Coturnix japonica: one gene and its partners. The protein of the gene in region 3 interacts with the protein of the main gene of each other region in a biochemical or structural test. Links are inferred from orthologs where the notes say so. Each region holds a gene or a part of one and is shown on either strand. Other genes may lie near its edges. The genes, in order: BRF1, MAPK14 and RB1.

Region 1 (3,649 bases), on a different chromosome or scaffold from region 3:
CTACCAGCCAAAAAAATTAAATAAATAAAATCAAATGTATGTCATAAATCTTTTAACAGTAAGAAATAAAAAACAAATGGTTTGCCAAGTCCTTGATATTATTTAATCAGGAATGCTGCCTACTTCTGGAGTGCAAAATCTTAACCACGTATCTGCATGTATCACCAACCTTCTCTCAAGTGCTCTGCTGCAAAATTCATTGTATCTAAGATCTGCTAATCATCATCAGGAAACTGTTATGCATCTTAAGGACGTACTTTAGGCACTCAAGTGGAAAAATAAACACATTTTATTAGCTGCTTTTGGAAAATACTGATTTGTGTATTTATTTAGAGACCTTTTCAAGTTGCACCACTGTTAAATCAAATATTTATGGCATGATTTTCCAAAGAGTTTAACACCTGTTAAGGGTTTAACTTGCTGGCTTCAACAGGAGCTCCAAGTGCCCAGTGCTGCAGAAAGGCAGACCTCAAAGGGACATGGATGGATGTGCTGAAGCATCTCAGGTGCTCATATTACTGCTAAGTCCTGAAAAGCAATGGGTCCCTCACAAGCCCATACTGCCCATCACAGCATTCCATTCTTGCTAACTGTATCAGAGCTGTGCTTCACTAAAAATTGCAGAAATATGACTCACTATGCCTGTTAAATACAAAAAAACCCATAAGCCAATGCTGTGAGATAATCCTGAATCCATCTTCACTTTCCTTCTATTAGAAAATATGTGTATTTAGGTCATTAAACATGACCTGAAGTAGCAACTTACATAGGAAACTAAAATCCTCACTGAATGAATTGGAAAGCTGTTGGTGTTAGAGAGGTGAGGAGCTGAATGAGGATGAAGCCATTTTGATAAAACACAGAATAAAGAAGGAAGAGCAGAAAAACAAAAGACATTTGTTACATTGCAAAAATCTGTATCCCAGTGACAGTGAAGGTAGACACAATTCTGGCTGAGAAGTTAAAAGCATTGGCCAAAGCCAATGTAATTGCCCAAGTGCAAACCAGTTCATAGTAATAGGTTTGTGTATGGCCATGTCCATACCAGCCCACCCAGCTTTACCTCCACAGGTTTGCTACATCCTCACTCCTTTTGCCAATAGATGAATTCTCACACCTTCTGGTTGCCTTTTTCTCCCCAGAGCTGCTTTATTTAGGAAGGGAAAATATCATATCTGAAGCACCTCCAGCTGCAGCTCCTTCCTCATTCTCACTTCTGACAGCCCTGAGCCCCCTCCCATGAGCTCTGCCCACTCCAGTGCTGCTGCAAGCAGTGCCATCACCAACCCCAGCTCTCCTCTGCTCCCTCCATCCACCCCCTGCCCTTCACTCTCCAAACAACAGTATGAAGACACCATCTAGCATTTCTATATTAAATGTCTGGATTTCCTGGTGGTGTATGGCCTTGGAAGCAAAAAACATCTTTTAGGCAGTAAATTAATATCTAGCAACTAAATAAGAAACCACTATAGAGAGAGATCATCCAAATGATCATCCGACATGATTTCATGAACTGCAGGCTAATAAAACAGTTGAATATTGCAGATAGGACACATCCATCTCCTTCTACACATTACAGCACACCACAAATCTGCCCAGCAAGTCTGAATATTTTGCACATTAAAATAGTAGCTTTCATCACACTATAAAACATTTGCAAATGCAGACCAGAAAACCGACAAGCATATTTACTGTAAAGCTTTATATTTGTGTCACCAATTAACAACAAAAGTTTGGAACAAAACTAAAATAAAAGCTAATCAAAACAGCTTAGCTGTCATAACAGATGGGAACTGTATTTTTCAAATGAAGCAAAAAGCCAAAGCTTTCGAGCATTTAGTGTCATGTCAGCAGATACAGACAACCCAGAAAGGGAGGACACCAAATGTCAGGGATATATGAAGAAAAGCTGTTCGTGGCCCAAAGATTGATGTTTATGAATTTCCATTGATTTTTTTTTTTCTTCTCCTCCAGAATGATTAACTCACACTAAAACAGACCTTTGATACGAGAACTATAAATAAGTTTCCACTGTGACACTGCAGGCAAAATAAATAAAAACAAGAGCCCAGCATTATTTTAGCCTCAGACAAATGTTTCAGTACCTACATTGTCTGGCTCAGAAAGATACATAGACAGTCTCACAGACAGAGATAGAAATGAACAATTGCGGTACCTTTTTCCCACACTGTTTACAGGGCTGGCTATATTCCTACTGGCAATAGATTTTCTTCTTGACAGCTTCTTGGTGTTGGTGCTGTCATCAGTGCTGTCATCCTCTTTCTTTGGTGTGTTACTTCCTTTGCTGTTCAGGTCCCTTAGCACATTATAATTAATTTTACTTGAGATTTTCTTCTGTTCTAACATCTTTTCAATTGCCTCTCCTGCTGTGCTGGCTTGAATTGGCTCCCGCTTCTTTGCAGCTTTCTTTGGCTTAATTAAAATATAAAATTAGTGATGTAGAGACAAACAAAATGGTTGTGTAGCAGAAGGGGGACCTGTAGCTCAGCAGTCCCTGCACAGGTGTTGGCGACTCGGGGACAGGATAGGCGATGGGGCAGAGCCAGGTCAGCACTCTATGGCCTGGGGGAGGACTAAGGCTAAGAAACTTCTTTTTCTACAAGAATTCAGTGTAGGCTTTCCCATTTTTGCCAAATGCCCACGCAGTTTATTACAAATTCTTGACTGCACATTTGTACCGCTGCCAGAAAAGCAACGTGGGCCATTTCTCACATGTGAAAAAAAAAAATGGAGAGAGCTCCCGTTACAGGAACAGGGACCTTGATAACATCACCCAGCATGCAAATAAATTCCTCTGTTAAAACTACCTTCCAAGTGAGAGTCAAGCTGGGGCACTCCCCTAGGCACTGACAGCAGCATTTTGTATGAAGCCTGAAAGCTGCACATCCAACTCTTCCTCAGAATGGAAAGAAGTGGAGAAAATTAGCAATTAGCAGCAGCTTTCTAAGCAATAATGGTGTTGGGGAGGAAGCAGGATGCTGCAGCAACATCACCTGCCCACAGAGAGAGACAACCTCCCTCGGCCAAGCACTGCAAGCCCAGTGCTAACACTATGCAGCAGTTTGATGCTGCACAGACCCAGACAAAGAGAAATGACACCAGGGAACACTTCTGTCTGGGACCAATGCCTAGCTAGGAACACACAAAAAAAGTCTTCTGTTTCTCATTCAACCTTTTCCTTTTCAAAGGAAGTTTTTAACACCAAGCTCCGCAGGAGATTTATTTTTTAATGTATAATAGCCCCTCTGTTTACCTACATGGGTCAAGTGCTACCTTGAAATTGGAAAGCACTATATTAATCAAGTTCTACTCGAGCTGTCAGAAACAATACAGCTCGAGAAAAACTCCTGTGTTGTCAGAACAAAAAGGTGGGTTGTTTGGGCTGCTTCTCAGTGCCAGAGAGTTATAGAGTTCTGAAAATTGCTGGTAGAATTCCACGGCCCTGGAAGGGCGGCATGAATGAGGGACTCTGAAGCATAAAACAGTGTTTCATTGTCTGGTTTTGTTTTTGCTATTGAAATACCTAGGGGAAGTGGGAAACTCTGTCTTTCACATTAGGCAGAAAAGAAAGATACAAGATACACACATTAAAAACGAACATGGATTTTAGTTGCATGTGGAAGATTTG
Region 2 (3,749 bases), on a different chromosome or scaffold from region 3:
CTTGTTACTGATTTAGACAGAATTCTTGTAATGCAGAAGACTTAGATGAATACGCAAAACTCCGGCAAGAAGGCATTATCACTTCACACAACAGATGTCACTGCAATTGTTAACATGGCTTAGTGATGAATGATCTGAGAGTCCATATAGACATTTCTCGGCATTTTAGCACCAAAGCCCTACTTTAATTTCCACATATTTTCAGTTAAAAAAAAACAAAACAAAAAAACTGAAAAATACCTGAGCTGGCTGTTTGAACATCCTCACCGTGCACCAGAAGACACAAGAACACTTACTCCAACACTAAGGACACGCTCTGGCTGCCTGCATAGAACAACATTCTCCATCCACTGACTGCAAAAACTTCAGTCAGGACTTTCTACCACGGTGCTCCAAGTTGAGATGGACATTTAAAGCAGACTGCAGCAGACACTGCACAGTCTAATTGATTCATTTGCAGGCTTAATTCTTTTGTTAATTTTTCCTCCACTTTCTAGAAAGTCCCCCTTTTTATATCTCTCATCTGGACACCTAAATAAAGTGTATCATTATGTTCTAATCTAACAGTGCTGTAGACATACAGGAGTGTATTTATGCACTCTGTTTAAGGCTGATTAAAGCCCTGCAGTTCGCTGTCCCAAAACAGAGGGCACTTCAAACTCCAAGTCTGAAACAAAGACAGGAACATCTTCCCAGAGCAGGAGAAGGAAGAGGGAAGAATCTCTCTAAAGGAAAAGAGTGGAACAAGCCATGCTAGGAATGCCCTCAATGCCACACATCACTGTCTGGAGCTTTACATTACGAAGTTAATTATACATGCACACTATTACTTGTCTGTCTGAGCAGTACTTCTTCAGAAAGATGTTTTTGGTAGGACACAAAGAAAACCCTGAAAAAAGCTATGCTAAGATGCACATGCCGTACATCTGAAATTGCTTCCAAAGCAGAGCTGATCCATCCAGGCCGAACACAGTTGCACAATCTTTGAAAGTTCGGAGGCAGCATTACAGGAAATTCATGATGCAAAGTCTTCAGTAATTGGTTGTGAAAACAAACATTGGAAGCATTAAGTACACAACAGACCATGGGTAGGTGGAGAACAGAAGAGGAACGGGCTGCATGCACTGCATAAGGCCGGCCTGAATACAGCAGATATGGAGTAAATCCACTTCCTATTGCACCGAGGGAGTTATGTAACCACAGCAGCTAAAGGGGCATTTATCAGCTGGGGCACTGAGCCCTTTCTTTCACCAGAACTAAACCCTTTAATTATTAAAAAACTGACTAAATCAGAAGATATACTGGCTACCCGTGGTACTGTAACTGGTTAGGCTCTGTCTTCTATGACATACAAGCATTTACATACTTGGGACACGGCAGTTTTAAGAAACGTGTTATTTCAGCAGAGGTTCCTGACAGCAGAACAGGAGAGAACTTGACTTCTTTAAAACTGCAGCACACACAAAGCAACTCCTTTTTCTGATAGAGGTCAGCATGCATTGCTCCTTAAAATATAAATGACAGTCATGGTATAAACTTGTACATTATGTTAACGAAAAAAATAGGCACGCCTGCTCCGAGACAGAAGCAGAACAGATGTACAGTTGTTACACACCCGTATGAGAACTCGGATCACACTGACAGAGCAAAAAACATCGTTTAGCAGCCTATGCTGCTATATAAACCTCTAAGCGACTGCTCAAGTCGGAACGTCAATCCAGACACAACCTCATCTTTACGATTAAGCGATGTCATCAGCCCCACTGATTTACATTTCACGATCCAATACATTTTTGCAGAGAAATCCCAAGCGGTGCACGCGATGCAACGAGGCAAGCATTAAAAACCGAGCACAGCTCCGAGCTCTCCTTATTCCCGCACGCTGACCCCAGGCTTTGCTCCTGCAGGCAGCGCACGCCGCGCTCACCGCACACAGCCGCTAAAATGGCTCTTGCAGCCCCTGCCAGGCGTCGGGGACGCAGCAGCTCCCTGCAGCCCCCGGCTCATAATCCATCCTCCGGGTCGAGAAGGAAACTGAGCCAGCAGAGCTCTGCGGAGCTCGGGGCCTTGCCAGCCCGCATCCTCTCCACCCCCACCTCCCAACTGCGAGAAGGCACCGCGAAATATGCCCAAATGAGATCACGCCGGGGGCTGGGACGCGATTATCTTCCCCTGCAAAAATGTCCCGGTGCCACCTGCCCTATGCTGCAATGCTCGGGGCTGCCGGCTGCGGCGGAGGGAGAACGGCGCGGAGCGGCGCCCGGGGCCGAGCGGTGCCCGGGGAAGAACCCGGCCCGGAGTCACCCCCAGCCGCCACTCACCAGACGGAGCCGTAGGCCCCGGACCCGACCGGGGAGAGGTTTTGGTAGCGCTCGGGCACCTCCCACACCGTCTTGTTGAGCTCCTGGCGGTAAAACTTGGGCCGCTCCTGAGACATCTCGGCTGCGGAGCCCACCCCGCCCGGCCCGGCGGGAGGGGGCGGCGGTGCCCGCGGCTGCGGCAGCACCTCCAGCTGCAGCAGCAGAGCTCCCTCCCTCCTTCCCTCCCTCCCTCCTTCCTTCCTTCCTCCTCCCCTCCCTTCTTCCTTCCTCCCTTCTCCCCGCCTCGCTCCTCCCACGCCGCCCCTTCACACCGCCCTCTCCTCACACCGACCGTTGGCCGCCGCCCCGCGCCCCCCCGCCTCACGTTGCCCGGGCCCAGCCCTCGCGCGGGGCGGTTGCTCCTTCCCCGGTCCCCTCCTCTCAGCCGCCGCCTCCCCCTCCCCGCACACACAGCTCTCCCTTTCTCTCTCCCTCCGCACGGCGAGGGGTGGGTTGCCCTGTCAGGTGAGGGAGGGATCGGCCGATAGGGAAGGCCGGGGGGAGGCACTCGGCCGCAGGTAGGACGGCAAAGACGAGGCCCCGGCCCCGTCCCGCCCCCAGCGGAGCAGCTCGGGCTGGGCCGACCCGGCCGCTCCGCCTCCCCGCTCCCCACTGCGGCCCTAGGGTTCAGTCCAGACGTTCTCGCGAGAGTTGAGGCGCCGTGGGCAGAGATGCCCCAATATGGAGGCAATGCGGAGCGGCGCGGAGGGGCTCTCGCGAGAACGGGCCGAGGCGAGAGGCGGGCTCGCTGCGTTCAAGTGTTCCACGAGTGCGGTGTGTGAGGGGGTTGTGCTCACGCAGGGAGATGTCACGGCGCCACAGTCCGTGTGCCGTTTTCGCGAGGCTTTGTCTTGTCACCTTGACGCTGTACTTTAAGCAAAATATGCACATTGATGAGAACGATGACCTAAGGCAGCAGGCCTGGGCTGAACTGCCACAGCCCTCAGTAAGGCCAAGCCCCGTTCCCTCTGGGGGTCTCACAGAGCTTGGGGAGCTGAGCTGGTACAGCTGGAACTCAAGTTTCTTTTTAACTTTTTTTGTTGTGTTACCTTCACTTGAAAAAAGGTGATTTTGCTCAAACAGCAGCTTGTACTGGGTGTGCAGAGCTCATGAACAAAACGTCTCTTAAACTCTGGAAGGCCTTTGTGTATCTCCTTTTTAAAAAGAGGAACAAACCATTCACTAGGAATCGAACGTGCCTGCGGGCTGCCTGCTGCTGTTAGAATGACTGGGCTGTGTGTGCTGGTGGCTGTGCCTGGAGGCTGCCAGGCTCCTCTATTAGAAGTGGTGTATCTCAGTGATGTGAAACGCCAGACTTGTACAAAGGGATCCCAACCATTCAGGAAACATATTTATTTATTTCCCTCCAGGTTTTGTTACTTATACTGC
Region 3 (3,649 bases):
CATGACCTGCCTTTCATGAACCTGTGCTGGCTGGGCCTGATCCCCTGGATGCCATGCATGTGTCATGTGGTCTCACCCAAATTAGGGGCCATGCTAATCTTCTCTGTATCATTCCAATTTTAGTATATGTTCTACCAAAGCGAGCGCTGTGCTGCTCCAGTCCCCATGGGCTGAGCAGTGCCACACCCCAGAGCACAGCAAATCATTTAATTCCCTTTCAAGAATCCTGGTATTAAGGATGAACATGTCGTGCTCATTTTCTAGCACTTCTGTGCCTCTCTGCCATTTAACAGCACCAAAGATGCTTTGGAGGGTTTTAATTTAATCATTTGTGTTTCAGTGGAGCAAGTACAAAAAAAGTAAGCACTGAAATGACAGTGGTGTTGAACGATGTTTTTGTCTGAGTTGACACAAAGTGTTCTATGCAAGGTACTCAGTGCTGAGGAGTTACTAGAAGAGTAATACTCACTCATTTCTGCAAGCTTCTGTTGGAACTTGGACTCCTGGGGTAGGTGTTTGCTGCAGACAGAAAGCATTTGATTAAAGGGATGTTAAAAACAAACAACAGCAACACACAAATCACAGCTAGTTCATTTCATTGCTACTGCCTCATCTTATAAAAATACAAATTGTGTTTTCCACCACAGCACACTCAAGAGATGTTTCATTTCTCATACTTCTAAAATAATATTTTTTAAGACTGCAGTACAATTTAGCCTTTAGCAGAAATACCTGGGTATGAGGCACTGAATGAATCCTTGCTTTAAACACCAAATGCCCAATTAAGTATTTTGCTACCGTCCCTCATGTAACGTATTTATGGAAGTTCAGAAATAAACAGAATCACAGGATCATAGAATGGTCTGGGTTGAAAAGGGCCACAATGATCATCCAGTTTCAACCCCCTGCTATGTGCAGGGTCACCAACCACCAGACCAGGCTGCCCAGAGCCACATCCAGCCTGGCCTTGAATGCCTGCAGGGATGGGGCATCCACAACCCCTTGGGCAACCTGTTCCAGTGCATCACCACCCTCAAACAGAAGTTAGGATGCATTCTGGAGGCCCCACAAAACCACTCCTGAAGCAGTTGAGCAGAAAGCCACCATCAGTCTCCTACCCTCCATCTGCCTCGTCCTGCCCTTCTATATCGAAGCGCAGCCTCTTCAGTGGCTTAGGGGCATCGCTGGGCTCTGCACCGCGCTTTACGTGGCTCTCACTGTTGCACACCATCTGGTTTATTTTTTGAAACTTTTCAGAAGTCTGAAATCACAAGAAAATAGTTAAAGAGTTAGTGAATAAATCCTGAAACTACTCAAACTTCCCCAATGATCCACTACAACGTTACAATCTAAGAACTCTAACCTTAGAATCATAGAGTGGTTTGGGTTGGAAGGGACCTTTAAGATCATCCAGTTCCAACCCCCTGCTGTAGGCAGGGACACCTCCCTGTAGACCAGGTTGCTCACAGCCCCATCCAGCCTGGCGTTGAATGCTTCCAGGGAGGAACCTCCTTCCACAACAACTGAAATAGAATGCTAAACTTTTTAAAAGCTAAGCCTGGATAACTGAAAGAGGTGAACAGGACATCCCTGTAATCTTTGTGCTTACAAATTCCATAAAATGACTATATTAGATGGGAACCATGAGCCAGCTCTCTGGCTACCAGCAGGCTACGCCGTGGCTCCAACACCACGCATTCAAGAGCAGACAATAAGAACTGTAAAACTCACCCCAAACGTTTCACCAATCGACACCAGAATTCTGCCAAAGGAAGAAAACAAGCATTTCAGTCAAGCCGCCCTCCACAGCAAGACAGAGAAGCATCTATTAACTTGCACAGATTTTCTTAAGGCATTAATGAAGTGTTCTCCTCTTTAACAGTGCAAACCCAGACTGTGCTTTGCTGTATTCAGATTATTCACATTTCCATTAGGACCGGTGAAAGCCTAATTGCCAAATCTGCCATCCCACACCGATACATGAAAAGCTGTGTCTTGGAAGAATGAAAGGTCCACACAATGCAACCCTTATCAACAGGAAATGCTGAGGACCTGATAATCAGCCCTTAATCATTTCTTTTGGATGTTTGCTAATCAAACCCACGCAAGACGTCAACCTAAAACATCCGATAGCATTTCCTAGTTGGAAAAGCCCACTACAGATTTGCACGGGCTTTTCAATACTGAGATGGAAATGCTGTTTAAAGATAACATGATTCATCTGCTGTCATCCTCTGCTAAGAGCCAGTGGCCAGTTTGAATCATAGAATGGCTTAGGTTGGAAGGGACCAGATACAGGACACAAACTTTAACCATAAAAGATAAACTAACCACAGACTATTAATGAACTACACACCACAGTTTGCTAACTTGCTTGCAGTGAACTCCCAGTCACTTCACTTCACTTCACTTCACTTCACTTCACTTCACTTCACTTCACTTCACTTCACTTCACTTCACTTCACTTCACTTCACTTCACTCAGTGAGATGTTTATAACCAACGTACCTGGACCTTGGAGTCATCTTTGTGGGAGATTGAAACCCATCAGAGAATTTGTAAGGGCTCTTCAAGGGTGAGATGTAGATGTTATTGCCTGCAGGGACACGCCGAGGAGAATTGGAGAACTGGTAGGGGCTGCGAGGAATGTGTGGGATAGGTGACAGCGTAGGAGGCTAGAAAATAACAACAGCATCAGAAGGTTTTACTGTCTATAAATTCCTATTCTATTAAATGAACAGTCCTGGATACAACTAACACTTTACCCTGTTGGAGGCATACTGCAGGATGTTTGTCTTCAGTTTCTGCATGAACACTAAGTTGTAGAAGACTATAATGGAGTCGTACTGCTCTTCCCTGATAAGAACACGTTTGAAAGTCTGCAGTGAGAAATAAAAATTAAGTTATTTCATTTGTAAGCACCTTAATAAGGTACTTCATGTTAGAATCAAGCCTGCAACTGTAATAGGCCTCTCCATTGATGTACCTGTTTGACACATGACCATTTTTTTTACTGATGACAGCTGAAGTAAGTAACCTGTCTATTCCCCCTCAATATTCCAGGAAAGTTAAGTAGTTCTTAAAGGAATTTAAGTTGCTTTTGAAAAATCCTATCAGTACTACACCTTAACTTCTCATCTAGTTTCCAAATAGAATAATGAACTGTTACTTGGTATCTTTAATTAATAGGGCAGGAGGAAATTTGCTTTCTGAAAGCTAACAAACAATTGCTGTGAGATATTTACTATTTTGCAAGATGCTTACAGAGACACTTAGTATTAGAACTAATTTTCTACTCTCCAGGGCAAATACATGCAATAATAGAGTGGCCTGGGTTGAAAAGGACCACAAAGATCATCCAGTTTCAACCCCTCTGCTGTGTGTAGGGTCGCCAACCACCAGCCCAGGCTGCCCAGAGCCACATCCAGCCTGGCCTTGAATGCCTGCAGGGATGGGGCATCCACAGCCTCCTTGGGCAACCTGTTCCAGTGCGTCACCACCCTCTGTGTGAAAAACCTCCTCCTAATCTCTAACCTAAATCTCCAGTCTCCCTTTAAAACTATTCCCCTTGTCCTATCACTATCCACCCTCGTAAACAGCTGTTTCCCTTCCTCTTTACAAGCTCCCTTCAAGTACTGGAAGGCCACCAT

What was found.
Region 1: the proteins of RB1 (region 3) and BRF1 form a complex in vitro, tested with the Homo sapiens proteins (2 studies listed by BioGRID). The link is inferred for Coturnix japonica from reciprocal best matches to the Homo sapiens genes RB1 and BRF1.
Region 2: of the proteins of RB1 (region 3) and MAPK14, one has a biochemical effect on the other in vitro, tested with the Homo sapiens proteins (3 studies listed by BioGRID and IntAct). The link is inferred for Coturnix japonica from reciprocal best matches to the Homo sapiens genes RB1 and MAPK14.

What each region holds. Positions count from the first base shown.
Region 1 is NC_029520.1:47,935,613-47,939,261, forward strand, and holds part of BRF1 (transcription factor IIIB 90 kDa subunit), read right to left. Parts: intron 2,434-3,649; coding exon 2,177-2,433; intron 1-2,176.
Region 2 is NC_029541.1:520,602-524,350, reverse strand, and holds the start of MAPK14 (mitogen-activated protein kinase 14), read right to left. Parts: upstream 2,567-3,749; 5' UTR 2,438-2,566; coding exon 2,322-2,437; intron 1-2,321. UniProt on the Homo sapiens protein: Serine/threonine kinase which acts as an essential component of the MAP kinase signal transduction pathway.
Region 3 is NC_029516.1:151,078,214-151,081,862, reverse strand, and holds part of RB1 (retinoblastoma-associated protein), read right to left. Parts: intron 2,879-3,649; coding exon 2,765-2,878; intron 2,675-2,764; coding exon 2,508-2,674; intron 1,763-2,507; coding exon 1,732-1,762; intron 1,262-1,731; coding exon 1,119-1,261; intron 520-1,118; coding exon 470-519; intron 146-469; exon of another isoform or gene 84-145; intron 1-83. UniProt on the Homo sapiens protein: Tumor suppressor that is a key regulator of the G1/S transition of the cell cycle. The hypophosphorylated form binds transcription regulators of the E2F family, preventing transcription of E2F-responsive genes.